Ovis aries: one gene and its partner. Each later gene encodes a partner of the first gene's protein in a complex. Links are inferred from orthologs where the notes say so. Each region holds a gene or a part of one and is shown in the gene's direction. Other genes may lie near its edges.

Region 1 (3,818 bases):
GGAGATACATAGAAAAATAATGAGGAAATAGGAATTTTCCTGGTGATCCAGTGGTTAAGAATTCGTCTTGCAATGTAGGGACACTGGTTTGATCCCTGGTCAGGAAACTAAGATCCCACATGCTGTGGGGCAACTAACACCCAATGCAGCCAAATAATAGTAATAATGAAGAAATATATACACAGTATGTCAGGTAATAGTAAGAGCTATGGAGAACAAGAAAGCAGGCTTTTGTGATTGTTTTTTTATGTAGGTGGTCAGGGAGGCCTCACCAAAAAGGTAACATTTGAGTAGAGGTCTCGGGGAAGTGAAGGAGGCAACCATGTGTCTGTCTAAGTGGGAAGAGTGTTCCAGGCATAGGGAGCAGCAAGTGCAAAGGCCCTGAGGCCAGCACTTAGGAGCAGCAAGGAGGCTGGTGTGGACCCGTGTGTCCGTGGCTTTGTGTTTTCTGATACTTTCTGATGATACCTTTACTGCTTCTACACGTAGGGCCTGTGAATCCCGAGAGCTCCCTCCAACCCCAGTCCTTCAGTCTCTTACATTTTGCCTTTCCCTTCTAGGAGGAGATTGTGTTGTGCTATCAGCCCAAACTCAGGGCGCCCAAAGGGTACCCCCAGAACTGGGGCCGCTTCCGGAACCGTGTGGACTTGGTGGGAGACACTTCCCGCAATGATGGCTCTATAATGCTCCACGGAGTGAAGGAGTCTGATGGAGGAAACTACACCTGCAGTATCTACCTGGGGAACCTGACCTTCAGGAAAACCACTGTGTTGCAAGTGATCCTGAAAGAGCCCCGAAGTATGTAACATCTGGCCGGGCGGGGAGGAGGGGCTGCATAGCTGGTAGGCAGGGGCAGTACTAGGGTGAAGCTGGAGAGGCTTCTAGGATGCAAAATTTAAGGAGGCATCACTCTCAGGTCCTGTACTTGCCTGCTCCTGATAAGCCTCGTACTTATCAAGCACTCCTACCCTGTGCTTGCATGACCTTGAGAGTAATCCCTCCTTAAATTTGGTCCCCTAGGCACCTTGCCTGCCTCACCCTAGTGCTTCCCTGATGGTAGGTCAAGGGAAAAAAAGGTAATAATACTGAGTGAATGCCAACCCCTCTGCCAAGCCTCACTCATGGTTTCTGTAATATACCAATTTAAAGATACAGGAGCTCAGAGATGGATTTGGGTCATTTTGACTTGGCTTCAAAGGAGATGCTCTATGCTCTGTAGTAGAAGGGAAGATGCTCCTGAGCTGGTGAGAGACAGCAAAGAACAGAGGAAACAGGAAGGGGAAGGAACCAAAAATAGAAGGAGTTTCTGATCCCAGGTTCTTTATTCTGGCAGTGTGTATTAAGGCCATTGGTGAGGAGGAGAGTAAAGACTCAATTGTGTTGACTGAGAGAGGTTGATAAGTAAGGGGTTAAAGTTAAACCGGAACCCAGTTAGCAGTCAGGATGTGGCCTGTGGACTTTGCCTTTTGCGAGGGCCCCAGGGGTTGGCTGTGGTTGGCTGGGGGCAGGGATAGGGGTGAGGAAGCACCTCTACCCTCAATACCTCTGGCCAGAGACTTAAGTCCATGGAGGCGCCTTCTTGTCAGTAACGGAGGATGCCAGCGGGAGAGGGAAGCAGGACAGATGGCTTTCTTCACTCTCAGAAGTCTTCCCTCTGCTTCACAGGAAAGAGAAGCCATTAGCGGGGGCTCATGCAACTTCTGAGCCCTCCACACCCTCAAGCAGACCTCCATCTACTCCTTCCTCGTCTTTGCCTGCCGTCCTGAGCTCCCTTCCCTCTGGGGGCTTATCTGAGCCGCTGTGCTTCTCCTCCTTCTCAGGACCCTCACAACATGCCTCTTTAAGCTCCACGGTCCATGGGCTTCTGCCATTAAGCACACGCATACACTCAACTCTTCCCCTTACCCGTGTCCTTGTCTCCTTTAGCTCTCACCCTATGTCATACCTTTTCTTTTTTCCCCTCTTTCACTTGACCTTTATTTATTTATTTATTTTAATTGGAGGATAATTACTTTGCAGTATGGTGCAAAGTACATCAACATGAATCGCACATAGGCATACACGTGTCCCTTCCCTCTTGAACTCCTCCCCACGTCCCTCCTCCCACCACCCCTCCAGGAGACACAGACATAAAGAACAGGCTTTTGGACTCAGTGGGAGGAGTCGAGAGGGTGGGATGATTGGAGAGAATAGCATTGAAAGATATACATTACCATATGTAAAATAGATAGCCAGTGTCTTACTTTTTCTTGAAACACCTTTATTGAGATACAACTCACACGCCACACAATTCACCCATTTAAAATGTACAACTCAGTGGTTTTAGTATATTCCGAGTTGTGCAACTTTCATCGAGATACATTATGCATTTCTTTCTAGACACAGTCAGATAGTTTGCTAAAGGACTGAACTCAGTGTCTTCTGTCTCATCTTGCATTAACCCCTAGTACTCTGCAGTCAGCCTTCTACTTGCACCTCTCCTCCAGTGTAGGTCACCAGTGGCACTCTAACTGTCTATCCTTGACCTTCCCCACCCCAGTAGCATTGAACACCATGTTCTGTATACGTTTAATATATTCTGTTAGACGCAACCTATCTGTCCATCCATCCATCCATCCATCCATCTCTGTATATGAACGCCACCCAGATATTCCACAAATACTCAAACACAAATAATCCAAATCTACCCCTCACACCTTTCTCCTGCCCACCTCTCCAACCTCAGTTGATGCCACTGCTATCGACATAATTATCCAACTGGATAATCGTACTGGATATTATCCAACTGGATAATCATACTGGATATTATCCAACTGAATAATTGCCTGGGAGTCGTACTTGATTTTTCCCTTTCCCAGGACCCCTAGTCTAACAAGTCAACAGGTCCTGTGATTTCTACTGCTGACTTTGGATCTGTCTTCTTTCTCATCTGGCACCATCCCCTGGCATCATTCTGCCTGTCAACCTGTCTCAGACTGTAGGCCTCTCACCAGTCTCTGCTTTCGCTTTGTCGCTACCCCTCATTCTCGGTGCGATCTTTCTCAATCACAAATCTGAACTTCCTACAGCCTTTCAATGTCTTCTGCATTGCCTACAGAAAAAAACAAAACACAAAGCAAAACGAAAAATTGAAACAAACTCCTCATTGAGATAATCAAGGTCCTTCATGACTTAGATCCTGTTATCTACCCAGCCTCATTCCCCATCACGCCCTCAAACACAACCTTAGACCCTCTTTCTAGTTTCTCTAAGCACCATCCTGAACCGAAAGGCTCCAGATGTTGAGTTTAATATCCCTACCTCCCCCACCCCAATCCTTCTCCCATTGTTGCTAAAATCTTTGATAGTTCGTTTCAGACTCAAATTTTACAACTTTTGCTGACAAAGTCTCAGGTTCTGCTCCCCATAGAACCGGGAGCCCTTTCCTCAGCGCTGCTTTGTCCCGCATGCGGACTGCTCTCACAGTACCTATAGCGTCTGTGGTGTTCCGTGCACACCCTCCCCCTCCTTGAGGGCACAGACCATGCGTCATTGGTCTTTGTATCTTCCGTGCCTAGTACTATCTGGCACCCAGGAGGTGTTTGATGTATGTGTTCGGAGTGAATTGAGGAAATGGGTGAAGGGTGCTATATAGATGGATGGAAGTGTCGTGCTTGGTATCATGACTATGGGGCTGTGTTGTAGCCTAGATACCTTTGAAAACAATCACTTCACCACAGAAAGGGCAGCAGCCTATAACATGTCTGTTTTTGGTGAACCACATTTTAAGATAGAATTGTTAATGTAAACGGAAACTCTGCTGTACGTCAGGTGATATT
Region 2 (3,818 bases), on another chromosome or scaffold:
AGGCCTGGGGTGCTGCGATTCATGGGGTCGCAGAGTCGGACACGACTGAGTGACTGAACTGAACAGTTCTCTCTCTCTCTCTCTCTCTCTCTCTCTTTATATATATATATATATATATATATTTGGAAGGGAAATTTTTACTTGTGGTTCATCTCAAAAAAAGGGATTATCCAGGCAGCAGTTAGTGGCTGAATCAGTGCAGTTAGGTAATTAATTGTTTTTGGCAAATACAAGTAGTGTGCCCATGTTGTTTTTGTGAAGGAAAAAATTAAGGTGCTTTCCTGAGTTGTAAGTGGCTGGGGCCACTCCCTCCAAGGATATATCTCTACCCTGATTCTGATATGAGAACTTCCTTCTCTCCCTGAAGGAAAAGAAATTGAGCCCAACTCCTCCTGTCTACTCAGCCCGGATACCCTGTCCCCCTCCCATCTTGCTCTTCATCCCTCCCCTCTTCCCATGGCAGTGCCAATACCCTGAACTCAGGCTTCTGCCTGAGCCCTGCACGCCCCTCATTCCTTTGCCAGTGAAGTGCCTACCTCCTTTAGAATCCAGGACTCTGGTTCCATGGTTGAGATGCGAGAATGGAGAGCACAGATCCTGGCTTAAGGCTCAGGGGTGAAGCCCTGTGACAAGGTGCCTCTTGAGATCAAAAAGGCCAGTGTGTCCTGGAGCCTTGTGTTTCCATTCAGGGAAGGAGAATCCAAGGACTTCTTTGTTAAGTGGGAGCCACTTAGTCACAAGCCACACAGTCCACAGGACTGAGAGACAAATGTGATAGTGGGTGCTGGGCTGAAGTGTCCATTTCTGGGTTAAGACACCTAGCCTCTAACCTAAAGCACAGTAAATAAGGCCAAAAGAAAGAAGAGTTAGGGAGAGATTGATGCATAGGAGGATGTGTGCATAGAATTACAACTGTATTATAATGCTTGCTAAATCCTTCTTGTAATATTTTTAAGCTAGCAGGTAGTGTGATGGGGGCCTGGGCTGGAGAAATTTCCCTCCTCATTCCCTGCATGATCTCTTTAATCAGCAGTTATGATGTACTCATTCACTTACCGTGTGCTGAGCTTTATATGCTTTATAAACCCTGGACAGGGTTTTATATACTTTAATTATATATACTTACTTAAGTTTTAAAACAACACCCCAGAATGAAGATCATTATACATTCGAGGAGGAGGAAAAGGAGGGCCCAGGAATTTGAAGGAACATGCCCAGGGTCACGTAGCTGGCAACAAACACAGCAGGGGTTTTGAGCCCAGATCTTTCCCGACTACTCCTCCCACCCCCCGTGGGAGGTGTTGACCCGTCTGGATTATCTTATACAGTATCATGTACTGCCTCCCATATTTCATAAGCCTCTGTTTCCTCATATGTAAACTAAGAGCAGGTACACTTGCTTCTCAGGGTTGTGATAAGAATTTTCTGAAAATACTGTATGGTTTAGTGTTTTCTGAGTCTACAAGTCATACAGAAATGTTCATGTAGGCAGCCTGCAATGCCAGACCGGATGGATGTGGTTTCCATCGCAGCGGTATTGAGAGAGTTGGTCTGTGGCAGCCACTGCCTTCCGCACGGTTAAAACGTTAAATGTGGATCGTGCCTCCATCCCCATTGGGCTGTAAAGAGGAATCAAAATTGCCTGGTACATGTTACTTCTCCATTTCTTAGCTACTGTTTGTAAAATTGTTTTCATGAGAACATGACCACGTTAGTTTACAAAAATGACTGACCGTGAAGACATATTTGTCAGGCCCTCCTTGAAAGGCTGGGCTTCCACGTGGCTCAGTGGTAAAGAATCCGCCTGCCAATGCAGGAGACTCCAGTTCGATCCCTGGATCAGAAAGATCCCCTGGAGAAGGAGATGGCAATCCGCTCCAATATTCTTGACTGAGAAATCCCACGGACAGAGGATGCTGGCAGGCTGTGGTTCACGGGTTCACAAAGAGTCAGACACGACTTAGGGACTGACGACTAGGGCCTCCTAGAAAGGCGTGTGTGTATGTGTAAAAATGAGGGGTTCAAAGTATCATGGGTTGAACTTCCTGGCTTTTCACAACAAGAGAGTCCATGGGATAATACAGAGGAAGATACATTTAAGGAGCTCTCAGTACTGCTGTTGACAGGTGGATGTGGGCAGAGATGGAGCAAATAAAGTGATGGCTTATGTTTACAGAGCAAGTCAGCTGTGGACCCTTCAACTGCTTTTATTTACTTAGCAAGCTGATATTGAGTGCTTCCTCAGTGCTGACTCTTAATATGTAAGCAAAAGATCTTTAGTGAATTAGGAGCGGGGGCAACATGGTAGAGGAGGAGATGAAAGAAAACCCAAGTCTGTGCTCTGGAGAAATTCCTACACATAGTGCCGATTCCGATCTTACTGAACGTACCAGATGAATGGTCTGCAGGATGTATGCTGTAGTTTTCTGATTATTATTTAAGTTTGGTACTATTGCTCTTTGGCCCTTGGGTCTCAGATGGGCCAGAATGAAGGACTTCATGAGTGAATAAAATGTATGAAGTATTTAAATTAATTTTCAGTTCAGTTCAGTCGTGAAGGGTCTTTGCTTTTAGTCTCTGAAAATTTATTGGAAGGTCCTGTTAACCAGGTTGGGCAGACACATCTTAACAGGTTTATGATTTTATCTGTTGTAGTCTGGAACCTTCAAGTGCCCCTAGCTTAGTATATTAAGATAAAAAAATGTCTTTGTTGTTGTTACTGTTCTTAAGTTCCACAGGTAAATTATCATAAGCCCTCTTTGGGGAGTAGTGGTGGTGGTTGATAACCTGATTGTATACAGTTGATTGGCATACTTCTTTCTCTGAGGCAGCTGAAAAACAGAGTGCATAAGAATTCACAAATCCACGCTCTTGTGGGTCTCACCGTATGGCTCGCATAGAGGACTGTATTATTTAATCATGTCGGGTCTTGGTTTCCCCATCTGTAATGACCGTGTGTTAAAATACTTAAGGATCATATTGGCCTCTTTCTGTTTTCTTGAGAGCTCGTTTGGAGATTCTAGTAGGAGAGCACAGCTACTCGTTAAACCCTTGACTGAAGACCGATCCTCCTCTATCGGGGATGGTCTTCATCTCCCACCGTGTGTGCAGCTTCAGGAGGGGCGCTCCTGGAGGGGCGCTCCTGGAGTGGTGAGGGAGGGAGGGGCTAATCTAGCCAGCCAGATCAGCTGAATCAGCCCCGGTGATCAGTGGGCTGACAGATGTTGCAAACAGGTCGCCCTCACATCCTCCTTCCATTTTCTTAACCTGTGGTTTGAATAGTTGTAGATTCCTCAGAATATTGTGTTCTTTTTTTGTTTTTTTGGATCCTTACAGTACTGTGGTGTATCTAGAACTCCTTTAACAAGACAGGGAGTTCACTTGCTTGCTTGTTTTCTCATTGTCTTATTTTGGCTTTCTATCAGATTATTTTATATTCCGGAGACAAAATTTATGATGACTACTATCAAGATCTGAAAGGACGAGTACATTTTACAAGTAATGATCTCAAATCTGGTGACGCTTCAATAAATGTGACAAATTTACAGTTGTCCGATATTGGCACATATCAGTGCAAAGTGAAAAAAGCTCCTGGTGTTGGAAATAAGAAGATTCAGCTGACAGTTCTTGGTAAGTTACTTATTAACAGGGTAAGGGATCACAGTACTGTAGTAGCAGCATTTACGTGAGACAAAACTTAGAATTTTAGAGTAGTAAGTTTAAATATTTGACATACTGTCCTCAAATAGCATAAAACATAAAGCTGGCAATTTTTTTTAATAGAAAAAATAAGTGAACAGCTTCTTCGTGAAGTTCAT

The links.
Region 2: the proteins of JAML (region 1) and CXADR are in contact, whole or in part, in a crystal structure (PDB 3MJ7), measured with the Mus musculus proteins. The link is inferred for Ovis aries from reciprocal best matches to the Homo sapiens genes JAML and CXADR. Residues at the interface, in NP_001005421.3 of Mus musculus: Arg57, Asp59, Ala69, Tyr72, Phe75, Tyr77, Leu80, Val82, Glu120, Arg122, Ser127, Met128, Val129, Met130, Lys131; in NP_001020363.1 of Mus musculus: Thr23, Gly51, Pro52, Asp54, Glu56, Leu58, Ser60, Gln65, Ile66, Val67, Asp68, Gln69, Val70, Leu73, Tyr83, Lys121, Lys123, Lys124, Ala125, Pro126, Gly127, Val128, Asn130.

What each region holds. Positions count from the first base shown.
Region 1 is NC_056068.1:28,633,077-28,636,894, reverse strand, and holds part of JAML (junctional adhesion molecule-like), read left to right. Parts: intron 1-560; coding exon 561-798; exon of another isoform or gene 799-1,657; intron 1,658-3,818. UniProt on the Homo sapiens protein: Transmembrane protein of the plasma membrane of leukocytes that control their migration and activation through interaction with CXADR, a plasma membrane receptor found on adjacent epithelial and endothelial cells.
Region 2 is NC_056054.1:140,290,931-140,294,748, reverse strand, and holds part of CXADR (coxsackievirus and adenovirus receptor), read left to right. Parts: intron 1-3,425; coding exon 3,426-3,630; intron 3,631-3,818. UniProt on the Homo sapiens protein: Component of the epithelial apical junction complex that may function as a homophilic cell adhesion molecule and is essential for tight junction integrity.